Drosophila melanogaster: one gene and its partner. The protein of the gene in region 1 purifies or fractionates together with the protein of each later gene. This does not show direct contact. Each region holds a gene or a part of one and is shown on either strand. Other genes may lie near its edges. The genes, in order: mei-S332 and Pp2A-29B.

What was found.
Region 2: the proteins of mei-S332 (region 1) and Pp2A-29B purify together in Drosophila melanogaster (affinity purification with mass spectrometry, with the first as the bait; 2 studies listed by BioGRID). This does not show direct contact.

Annotation. Positions count from the first base shown.
Region 1 is NT_033778.4:22,120,216-22,125,076, reverse strand, and holds mei-S332 (meiotic from via salaria 332), read right to left. Parts: upstream 2,977-4,861; 5' UTR 2,877-2,976; exon of another isoform or gene 2,515-2,876; intron 2,175-2,514; 5' UTR 2,080-2,174; coding exon 1,603-2,079; intron 1,542-1,602; coding exon 813-1,541; 3' UTR 710-812; downstream 1-709. Other genes in the region: GM130 (golgi matrix protein 130 kD), read left to right, coding at 1-317. UniProt on the Drosophila melanogaster protein: Plays a central role in chromosome cohesion during meiosis and mitosis by preventing premature dissociation of cohesin complex from centromeres after prophase, when most of cohesin complex dissociates from chromosomes arms.
Region 2 is NT_033779.5:8,364,242-8,370,608, forward strand, and holds Pp2A-29B (protein phosphatase 2A at 29B), read left to right. Parts: upstream 1-1,796; 5' UTR 1,797-2,069; coding exon 2,070-2,153; intron 2,154-2,854; coding exon 2,855-3,008; intron 3,009-3,070; coding exon 3,071-3,489; intron 3,490-3,555; coding exon 3,556-3,630; intron 3,631-3,689; coding exon 3,690-4,455; intron 4,456-4,516; coding exon 4,517-4,789; intron 4,790-4,981; coding exon 4,982-5,163; 3' UTR 5,164-5,319; intron 5,320-5,474; coding exon of another isoform or gene 5,475-5,479; 3' UTR 5,480-5,849; downstream 5,850-6,367. Other genes in the region: RpS13 (ribosomal protein S13), read right to left, coding at 1-74, 300-322; CSN8 (COP9 signalosome subunit 8), read left to right, coding at 682-738, 799-863, 912-1,087, 1,148-1,398. UniProt on the Drosophila melanogaster protein: The PR65 subunit of protein phosphatase 2A serves as a scaffolding molecule to coordinate the assembly of the catalytic subunit and a variable regulatory B subunit.

The DNA of each region.
Region 1 (4,861 bases):
AGCAGCGTGAGTACGAGAAGGCCGCCCAAATGCGTCTCTTGCAAGCGGAGCGAGAGCAGCTGCGCGAGAAGATTGAGGCACTAAACAAGCTGGTGGTCAGTTTGGGCGTGGAGCTACCCGCAGATGCCGCCCAGGCAAAGCAACCAGAAGCGGCCGCAGGTAGCGAACACACTCCTGGCGAAGGTGAAAACTCGCAACAGATCATCAACAAGATACAGGACATTATCAGCGAGATCAAGGAGAACACGGAGCAGCCAAGCCACAACCATGCAGGAGACCATCTCAACTGTTGTATGGGCAAGTTCGAGGTAGTCTAAAAGAAGTGCAATTATCGCCTACCTACGTATAATCATTACCCTTTTGCTACTGTATTTAATTGTAATTGTAATTGTACTTTGTTCTTCAGAGTCTTTTGTAAATGTTTCCAACAACTTTGTGCGAATAAACGTAGTTTGCATCTAAGAGGAATCTATAAAATGAGTTCCCCTAAAAGCGTATTAACAAATAATTAATTGAAACGTTGTTTTATTCACAAATGAACATGTAAAAATTAGACGTACTTTTAAATTCCTATTGGCATCTTTGGGTGATGATGATGATGGAGTGTCTTCCTTCCGATAGCGCTGGATGAACTGAATATGCCCTCTATTGCAGGCAAAAAGTAATCCGATGTCAGCTTTTAGTCTATAAATTAAACTTATCAGGGCCTGACGATTTAAAAATATTATTCATATTAAAAATGGTAAAAAGTGGTATTGAAAACCAATGAAATTACAGAAACAACATTAAAGCCTATTAAAAAATTCGTCTATCTACTTTTTGGCCTTGGCCTTGCCTTTCGAGCCATTGCGCAACTTGTTCTTCAGACTTGGCTCCACCAAACTGGTGGGCCTGCAGCTTCTACTCGGCCTTGCGCTGTTGTTGCAGAAAGAACTAGACATATCCGTATTTTCTGATTTCTTATTAGCCGCAGTTCGGCTTCTAGTTCTTATAGATGGCATTTCCTCGACGAGAAAGGATTTCGGAGTGCTGGTGCTTCCGGCCATTTTGCCTATCCCATTGAACAGGCTTCTTCGCGGCGTTAATCCGTTGACATCAGGAAATATTCCAGACGATTGACTAGGCCTGGTGACTGCCAGTCGTGGGCACTGTATGCTTGGCTCCTGTGGAGAATCTTCCACAGCTACGGAAATAGCCAACCATGATCCCTTCCCAGTCTCTTTTCCCCGACTGAGGGACACTGCTACAGGGATATTGGTGTCCACTTCCCGCAGAGCCCGTCCACTGGGCGTGACGGTGACTTGGGCGTTTGGCGGACTACTTTCAAACGTTGTGTCGCAATAGATGGCCTCGCATGATGATGACGAGTCTGTGGACTCCCCTTCACTGCCATTTTCCTCTATAATGCTAAACAGACGATTGTTCTCTTCATTTTGCTCAGTCTGTGTCTCCTCCACGGGGCTTACTGCTTCGTCGAAATCATCGTCCGAGTCGTCCTCATCAAACACTAATTCCGCTGGTCTTCGTGGCGGTGGTGTAGGCTGTACTCAAGCCGATAATGAATCGTTAAGAAAAGCATAATCAAATTTAAGTATAAGTTACCTTGTTGGCTCTTCTATCCTCTGGTATCCTAGTGGTCACCACCTCGGACTGCACTTCTGCGCTGGAGCGGCGACTAGTGGACGATACAGTACTGGTCACTGAGGAAGATCTTCTTGGCGAGATTGGTCTGGTGGTGCGGGCCAACGCACACGTCCGTCGCATGTCCTTGCAGATTTCCCTGGAGCTGCGACGCGGGCCGCTTGGTCTGTTTATCTGAGCTGCGGGAGCGGGCTCCTGACGCACTGCCAGGGAATCGGAGTCCACGTTCAGGCTCAGCATCAGGCTGCGTACGATACTGATGTTCTCCATGCGCTGGCGATGGTTTTGCAGGACGTGCTCCTCCCGAATGTCCATGATCTCTCGCTCCAAAGATATCACCCGCTTCCTGTACTCGCCGATCTCCAAGCGCTGCTTCTGCACTTGGTCCATTAGCTCCGCATTCAGCAGCTTGTACTGCTGCTCCACTTTGGATCCCATTTGCTTCTTCTGATCTACTTATTCCATACACAAAATCCAGACAGACGACGCCAATAGCTTGTTTTGAATTTTGAAATAGAGTGACCGTTGTTGTGCTATTGGAATATACCCCAGCTTAAGGAAAACTTTTTGAAAGTATGGCAACGCCGACCATGCTCTTAATTAAAATGAAATTCTTTAATTTTGGGCCATATATATAAGAAACAATACAATCCGATGTGAATATATTTTATTTTAATAATTATAAATTTGTTTGTCTCATTTGCACGACAAGAATTAGGAACCGTTGAGTTGGTGCGAATTTGATCGTACATGCGTTACCAAGGGTAATTTTCCATTTAAATTCTACACGTATGCCAAAATGCTAAAATTTCGCTTAGTGGAAGCTGTGTATATTGCGGGACACCGATTTCGATAGGCACAAACCATCGAGAGACATCGATACGTCTATGTTTCTCTTACACCTCTAAGCTGCACAATAAATTTATTGTTTTCTCGACCGATTGCGAAGAAAATCTGGATATCCGTGGTAGATAAACAATGCTGCAGCGCTAGAACCCGGAAATCGAAGTGAATACGCGTTTCGGGAGGTTGTAGATACACCTTGCAGAACGCGAAAATCGCACTGAATCAGAAGTCAGCCCACCTGGCAGTGTGTGCGTGCGTGTACGTGAGTGAGAGTGTGCTGTCGCAGTGTGCGTGTGTTTGTGTAAAAATGAAAATCAGTCGGATTTGTATCGTCGTTGTACGTCTTTTAGGCATTTAGCCAGGCTTTTACACATTTCTACAATTCTTACCAACAGTGGGAGGGACTTTCCCCCCGCACTCACAGGACACGATACACATCACATGCAACACCTGTGCACTCGAAAAACGATAGACGGATCTAGCGCGCGGATTAACTTAACTTAGGAACACGGATACGGATTATACACCATAGTTTCGGAAAAATACATTAGGGAACCGCTTGCTATGCTGTTTCATCTCCGCCAGAGAATCACGACAATCACCTGCTGAAACACCGAAGACAGCCAGCAGCCCAGAGAACCGAGAATTTCATTCACAGAAGCTACGACCGCAGTCGAAAACCGAAACCCGCTTCAAGGTGAGTCTGTTTGTAAATCCAACTCGTTTGGCTTTGTACCCATTTAGTCGATTGAGTGCATCACTCAGCACTCAGAATCCGAAGTGGTACGGACTTATCGAGCGACCTTATCAATTCTATTTCGCACGGTGCCCAGAAATTTGGTAATTTATGGCAAGTTCAGGAACCTCTTCGGTACCAGTTCCATGTAGGCAATTATCTTATCGCGCCCTCCGACAATTTCGCCACGATATTTGCGACTAATGGTTGTGTGTATGTAAAATTGCATTTTCCAAGATATGGGGCTATATCTTATAGCCTCGAGGTACACAATAAACAAACACATACCAGCGTTAGTAGGCAGCTGTATTTAGACTTTTTATAATATTTATTCATATGTCCATATTCCAGATTAATCACCATTATTTGCATATATTCTAAGTATAGCCGACAGTCCATGTCTTGCCCGATTTGATTTAATATTTGAGCTTGCATGAAATTTATTTTTTCCTGTGTCGGAGAACACGAAAAGCCTTTTCCACCGTCTAACCGGCTAAAAGGGGTGCAATAAACTCGGGTCGCTTTGATTTTCTCCTGTTCCGTCAGCGAATGCACTTTGTTTTGGTTTGTTGTCGCTTTGTCTTAATCACATTAAGCAAAACGCCCGGGCACGCGACGCATGACGACACCAAGTGTTGCAACACCAGCGAAGACCCATGGAGCATGTGGCCACCCATGCCACCCCATAACTGACCTACAAAGAGTGCATTGCTCGACGGCCGACGAAAACTAAATTCGCTGACTAGGGGTTGATTCATTCGCTTGGCTCCCTTCAGCGATGTGAGTGCGAATTGTGGCGGTTGAACTTCGATGGTATGACATAATCTGGGCTCTTACTATAGCCATTTGAAGAGGCATACAATCGCAATCTTTACATTAGATTTATTACTTGTAGAGTTAGTCACAAGTTTTAGCTTAAGCGTGCAACTTCTGGTGTCGTGGTACCGGTGTCCGGGTTCCAGTTGTCCAGCACTCCCATTAGCTGAGCAACGAATATCTGATAGTCGAGGAACGTCTTGTTTATATTCTCATTTCTAAAATGCTTTACTACTCTGCGATGGTGGAAAACAGATATCAAAACATTGAAATACAAGACTATAGAAGTTGTTATAAGTAATTTCTTTTCTCTGTACCGAAAATAACCCTCGTGGCCAATTTAGTGCGCTCTTTAAACCATCCACAAGTGTGAATGGGCTTCGAGCTCCTTTCCGTAATGCTATGCATGGCACAAAGGGTCGTCCCAGTCGCCGGGTTCAATGTCATTGGCGTGGCGTAGGCCATGGCAGCGGTGGGCACATGGCACCGACCCATCCCAACGTCCCATTCCATGGCATCCCGTCCAGGAGTCTGCCTGCTGCCGGTCTATTGTCGAGGCTGTTGTGCATGCCCCACTGCAAGTACACACAGAAATATCGAGTGCTGCTGCAGTGACACACGCAAAGACTGGTGATTGAAGGGAGGGTGGAGGTGAAGGTGTGTGGGGCACGGGGTGTGGATATGGGGTTTTATGGCCACGGGGAGTGGGCACTTGTCGGCCTTGTGTGCGGCCATTTGTCAGTCGAATTGGCTGTCGTGCATTTTTCGAGCACTGCATCACACGAGGTCTGATTGGCACGTAGTAGAGAGAGAGAGTCGGTC
Region 2 (6,367 bases), on another chromosome or scaffold:
CATCATCTGCGTTCAGTTTCAGCCAGGATGGGACAGTGCGTCTGTAGGGGAGGGCTGATTGGGAAATACCCTTGCTGTGAACGAAATACACAAATGTTAGTACGCGTTTATGGCGGCGCCTGTCAAATGCGAATACGTCTGCACCATGTGCTTGCCTTTGCGGTCGATAATTAACACACTAAAACCACCGTAGAAACGCATTAAACACATTCATTCGTTCAACCCGCACGGCAGACACATTTTGCATGCATTCAGCTTGGCACACAGGCATCGAAAACAATGAAAAATTTCATTTTTACCCAGGAGCGTGCATACGACCCATCTTGATAGTCTAGTTTTTGACACCGAAAAGAAGGTGGAGACTTTTGGCACGTTGACAGCTCTACGATGTGGAGACCTGTCAAAGCAGCTATCGATAACGGGATGCTTAGCGATATTTTTTTTAATGCGCTTACAATATGTTGTGATATTCAAAACTTTACTTTAAGTGACTATTACAGGATTTATTAAAGGGAAATAGAAAGCTAATTTGTGTAAAAATAATTCATTTAGCTATCGATATATGTATACTATTGTCAGCTAGACTCTACACAAGCACAGGAGTGCTTTGGGAAGGTTTCATTTCTTGCAGCACGCTAAACGGTCACATTATTGTTTCCCGACCAAGAATTTACCAATAAAATGCATTTAAATAAATATAGTGAAGTAGTGGAGCGGCTTGAGAACGAGGAATTTGAGGTGAGTGATCGTTTAATATATTCACTACAGATGGAATTCTAGAAAACCATACTTTTACAGCAAGTCGAACTGGGAGCTGAAGTCTACCAGCAATTACTTGCTATTTACCTCTATCAAAACAAACTGTAAGTGATTGATATAAAAGAAATACATATTTTAATCTTGTGCTACAGGGCTGATGCCAAGTTGTTGTGGATGAGAGTTCCAGCTAACCTAAGGGATGACAAGGAACTGATCCAGCTGAACCTGCTCAATATTGCCCTGCAGAACAATAACTATGCCGATTTCTTCAAACACATCAAGTATGAGTGGTCGGAAAGAGTAAAGTCACCTGTGGAGGATCTTCTAAGTATGGCTATGCCTAAAAGCTTACTAATTGGATATAAAAACTTATAATGTATCTACTTAGATAAGCAACGCGAAGAGCTGTTCAAACTAATGGGCAGCGCATATATGTCCATTTACCAGCACAATCTACTGGAATTGTCACTAATGTCGGAGGACGAACTGAAACACGCCTGTGCGGCCTTAAATTGGACTGAGGAACTGGACGGTGACCGGGTAATCCTGAAGCCCAAGGTTCAGGAAGCACCGCCAGCTCGTGGAAACGATGACCAGTTGCTTAAGTTGACCGAGTTTGTAACCTTCCTAGAGAATTAAGCCTCAATAAATTTCAATACATTTAATTGGATTTTTGTATACATTTGAAGAAAAGTTATGGTCACACAGCCTGTGTCAATCTAAAAAACACTCGATTAATATCGTTATTAGACATATTTATAAATATTAGCTAAATCACCGAATTGGCGCCATTGGGTTTTGTACGAATTAGCTTTTGGAAGTATACCTAAAAATTAGGAACTAGAAACTAAGGCTACAGAATTATAATTTTCCATGTAATCTATGTAGATATATAATCATATTCTTGGCCTAATTTAATAAGTGTGATTTTAATATTCTTCAGAATTCAGTTAAATAAAATATATTTCAGAAAATCTATCGACGCGCGGAAACGCCGATAGTATCGAATGATAACCGATATGCGTTCCACCTCTACCGTTGTGTCACTTGAAGAAAAAAAATATTAATTTGCACCAACGACGTACGTTTTTCGTTCGAAAAGAACAGCAATCAGCGGATAATTGTATGGATTCTTAGAAAATTTGCAGCGACGAAATATAGTACCTTGCGAAATTATTTTGTAACCTTGAAGAAGTAAACTGCGAATCGCCAGAGGGCCAAATAGAAATCTCGTCGTTTGCCTGCAGAATAGAAGACCCGATTTTCAGTGCGCTTGTGTTTGTGTGTGAGCAGCAGAAACAGCAGAAAAAATGGCAGCAAGCGACAAATCGGTCGACGATTCACTATATCCCATTGCGGTTCTAATCGATGAACTGAAAAACGAGGACGTTCAGGTTTGTCATGTCCTAAAACCTGAAATCCAATTGTATCTCGCGAAGAATGTGCAGAAATATTCTAGTGATTAAATTTTGGGGTAGCGTGCCCACACTCCCTGCTTTATCTGCGATTGTATTTGTGCAAAAATGCGTCACGGTGTGTGTGTGCGTGTGTGCATGGGCATTTGTGTTGGTGCGAGTGTGTGCATCGAAATTATACCGAATTTCGATATACACAAGATTAGCGTTTTGCGAAAAAAATTACTATTATCAATTAATTGCAATTATGGGTATACGTCTTTATCCGCTTTTTATTTGTAGATTTTGTTATCCTTCATTTATGTATGTATAAGTATAAGTTTTTACGCATTTGCTATTTGCAAAAACAATTTACAACTGCGCGTGTTAAAAATAGATCAACTTCAATCAATAGTAATACCATAACTGATTTTAAAATGAGATAGTAAGATGAAATATTTTCGTTACATCGAATAATCTAATCACTTATCTTATCTAAAAAAGATATCTTAAGTAAATATATATGCTACGTTTTTTTTTGAAAATAAAATGTAGGGTACAGGTTGACCACCGCTTTTGTAAAAAAAAACCAATAGCCCTATCAATAATAACCTCAAAATCGTAGAATTAGTTACCACTTATCCTAAATTTGAATACCCTATTAAAATAATCATCTTTAATATTTTCCCTTACCAAAACAGCTTCGGTTGAACTCCATCAAGAAACTGTCCACCATTGCACTCGCTTTGGGCGAGGAGCGCACACGGTCCGAGTTGATTCCCTTCCTCACCGAGACCATATACGATGAGGACGAGGTACTGCTGGCCCTGGCCGACCAACTGGGCAACTTTACTAGTGAGCAAAGATATAATTTCTAATGAAAACATTTCCAACCATGTTCCGCCGTTACTTTCCAGGTCTCGTTGGTGGGCCAGAGTTTGCCATGTACTTGATTCCGCCCCTCGAGAGTTTGGCCACCGTAGAGGAAACCGTGGTGCGAGACAAGGCTGTGGAATCTCTACGCACCGTGGCCGCTGAGCACAGCGCCCAGGATTTGGAGATCCATGTGGTGCCGACACTGCAGCGATTGGTTTCCGGTGACTGGTTCACCTCACGCACCTCTGCCTGCGGCCTCTTCTCGGTCTGCTATCCACGCGTCACACAGCCAGTGAAGGCCGAGCTGCGCGCCAACTTCCGAAAGCTCTGCCAGGATGAGACACCCATGGTGCGCCGTGCAGCGGCCAACAAGCTGGGCGAGTTTGCCAAGGTCGTTGAGACGGAGTATCTGAAGTCCGATTTGATTCCCAACTTTGTCCAGCTGGCACAGGATGATCAGGTAAGCACCTGATTAAGACCAATTTAACAACACTCCAAAATATCAATCCTTATCCTTAATTTCCAGGACTCTGTCCGTCTGCTGGCTGTAGAGGCATGCGTAAGCATTGCCCAGCTGCTGCCTCAGGATGATGTAGAGCACGTAAGTTGATCAGCGCTGAAATTGTTAATACCTGTTGGCTTACAAAAAATATTCCATAGCTGGTTCTGCCCACGCTGCGCCAGTGCGCCAGCGACTCTTCCTGGAGGGTGCGTTACATGGTGGCCGAGAAGTTTGTTGATCTGCAAAAGGCTGTGGGCCCAGAGATTACTAGGGTGGACTTGGTGCCTGCCTTCCAGTACTTGCTCAAGGATGCCGAGGCCGAGGTTCGCGCTGCAGTGGCCACCAAGGTGAAGGACTTCTGCGCCAATCTGGACAAGGTCAACCAGGTGCAAATCATCCTTAGTTCCATTTTGCCCTATGTCCGCGATCTTGTCTCGGACCCCAATCCTCATGTGAAGTCAGCTCTGGCCTCAGTGATCATGGGCTTGAGTCCCATGCTGGGCGCCTATCAGACTGTGGAGCAATTGCTCCCCCTGTTCCTTATTCAACTCAAGGATGAGTGCCCAGAAGTGCGCCTAAACATCATCTCAAACCTGGATTGCGTTAACGACGTCATCGGTATCCAGCAACTGTCACAGTCGCTTCTGCCCGCCATCGTCGAGCTGGCCGAGGACTCCAAGTGGCGTGTGCGTCTAGCCATCATCGAGTACATGCCTGCTCTGGCCGGTCAGTTGGGTCAGGAATTCTTTGACCAAAAACTGCGCGGTCTCTGCATGGGATGGCTCAACGATCACGTGTACGCCATTCGTGAGGCAGCCACCCTCAACATGAAGAAGCTCGTCGAGCAGTTCGGAGCTCCCTGGGCCGAACAGGCCATAATTCCAATGATTCTGGTTATGTCGCGCAACAAGAACTATTTGCACAGTAAGTTATCGAATTGAAATTGTAATGATCAATATATGCTTATGGTTCTTATGATTTTTAGGAATGACTTGCTTGTTCTGCCTGAATGTTTTGGCAGAGGTCTGCGGCACAGATATCACCACCAAGTTGCTGCTGCCCACAGTTCTCCTGCTTGCCGCTGATCCCGTTGCCAATGTTCGTTTCAACGTGGCAAAGACCCTGCAGAAGATCTCGCCCTTCCTGGAGGCCAGCGTCATTGATGCCCAAGTAAAGCCCACACTCGACAAACTGAACACAGACACAGATGTGGATGTCAAGCATTTTGCTGCACAGGCCATTGCCGGCATAGCTGCAGGTAAGCAATAAACAGTCTAATATAAACAAGGTTAGCGTTTGACAGGGATAGAAAGGGTCTAACTTATAGAACAATATATAACATTATTCATTATCACAAGTTTTAAGGCATGCAGGGAATCTGAGAGTTACACAAATTCATAAATTGTCAGTTAGTAGTAAGACTTTAATTTTAATTAAAATCCTGCCATAGAAATGGAACTGAATGTGTTTAGAACGGCAATACCGCCGTGCATGGGCGCCAAAATTGAGGCGGCAATGGACTCAAAGCTGATAGTGGAACCGCCCCGACAGCCGGAGGCAGCTGACAATGACATTTTGCAGGAGATGAATGGCAAGGCAGCGGAGCCGCCCACGCTTGACTCGGAATGTTAGAGGATGAGTAGCCAACCACATGACGTGTGATGTGCCTCCCGCTGTCTCCAGCCAGTTCCACAAGCCAATGTGTTTAATCCTCCCCGTCATAATCGTATTCACATTTGATTGTTTGTTTGTTCAAGATAACCAGGCTAGATGTCCGATCTGATTAAAGTGCGAGTGCAGTGGATCAAATATTTAACCGATACTAATGTTGTGCCATATTTTTTTGTCTCTTTCCCGGTATCATCGCCATCACCACGTGGTTATCTCACCATTCCCCACTCTGTGTTCGTCTGCAATAATGTGTTTTGTATATTTGTTTATAGCGTAATCAACCTTCTTGCATCTTTTTTTATTCTATTTTTAAAACTGTATGTATTTAACGCCGGCAACAAAACATATTATGTAGCAACAACACTTAAGAACGGAAAATTGTAGTGGATCCCGGAAGGTGTTAAACGCTGCAGCCGATGCTGGATGAGGGATGAATGGAGCCAGGAGTCAGAGGAAGGAGAGAATCGGAGAATCAGCATGGGAGGAGACCCACTAAACGCGACACACAACTAAACATTACTACTTACATACTTATATTATATATAAATTACCATAGGCATAACGATCATTATTAAAAACATTTGTAGAGTTTGGAACATTTGATCGCATCTGAATGCAAAAATAAAATTGTAGTGAAACAATATCACACGATCTATTGAAAAGTTTAATGTGGAGCAAAATTGAATATTTAACTCCCAAAATTGTATACCAATTTCTAGGTTTCAGTTGTCAGTTCAAAGTTTGGAAATGTAATATTTTCCTTTTTATAGTTTCGTTCAAATTAAGCTTTATATACATTCTGATTATTTGGCAGGTGCATTGATTATTTATAATTTGTGAGAGGTATGGCTATGAAAAGCATAGATTATACAAACAAAATACTTGTATTTTTACATTTTAAAAATACTGTTAATTTATTTTGAAATCCTAAAATCATTCCAGCAGTAAACGATTTTGATAGCAAGCTAGACTGATATCGATAGGCGCCAAACAGACACCTGGCGATAGTTGGGGCTTCTTTTTGGTTTTTTAATTGGATGATGGTGGTGGTGGTGGTGGTGGTGGCGAGCAGTTTCTAGCGAGAGATCAGTTGGACTTTTGCGACGAAGCGATACGCTTGTTTGTTTTGCCGTTCCGCTGCGCGTTGGCCAATGTTTGCCTAACT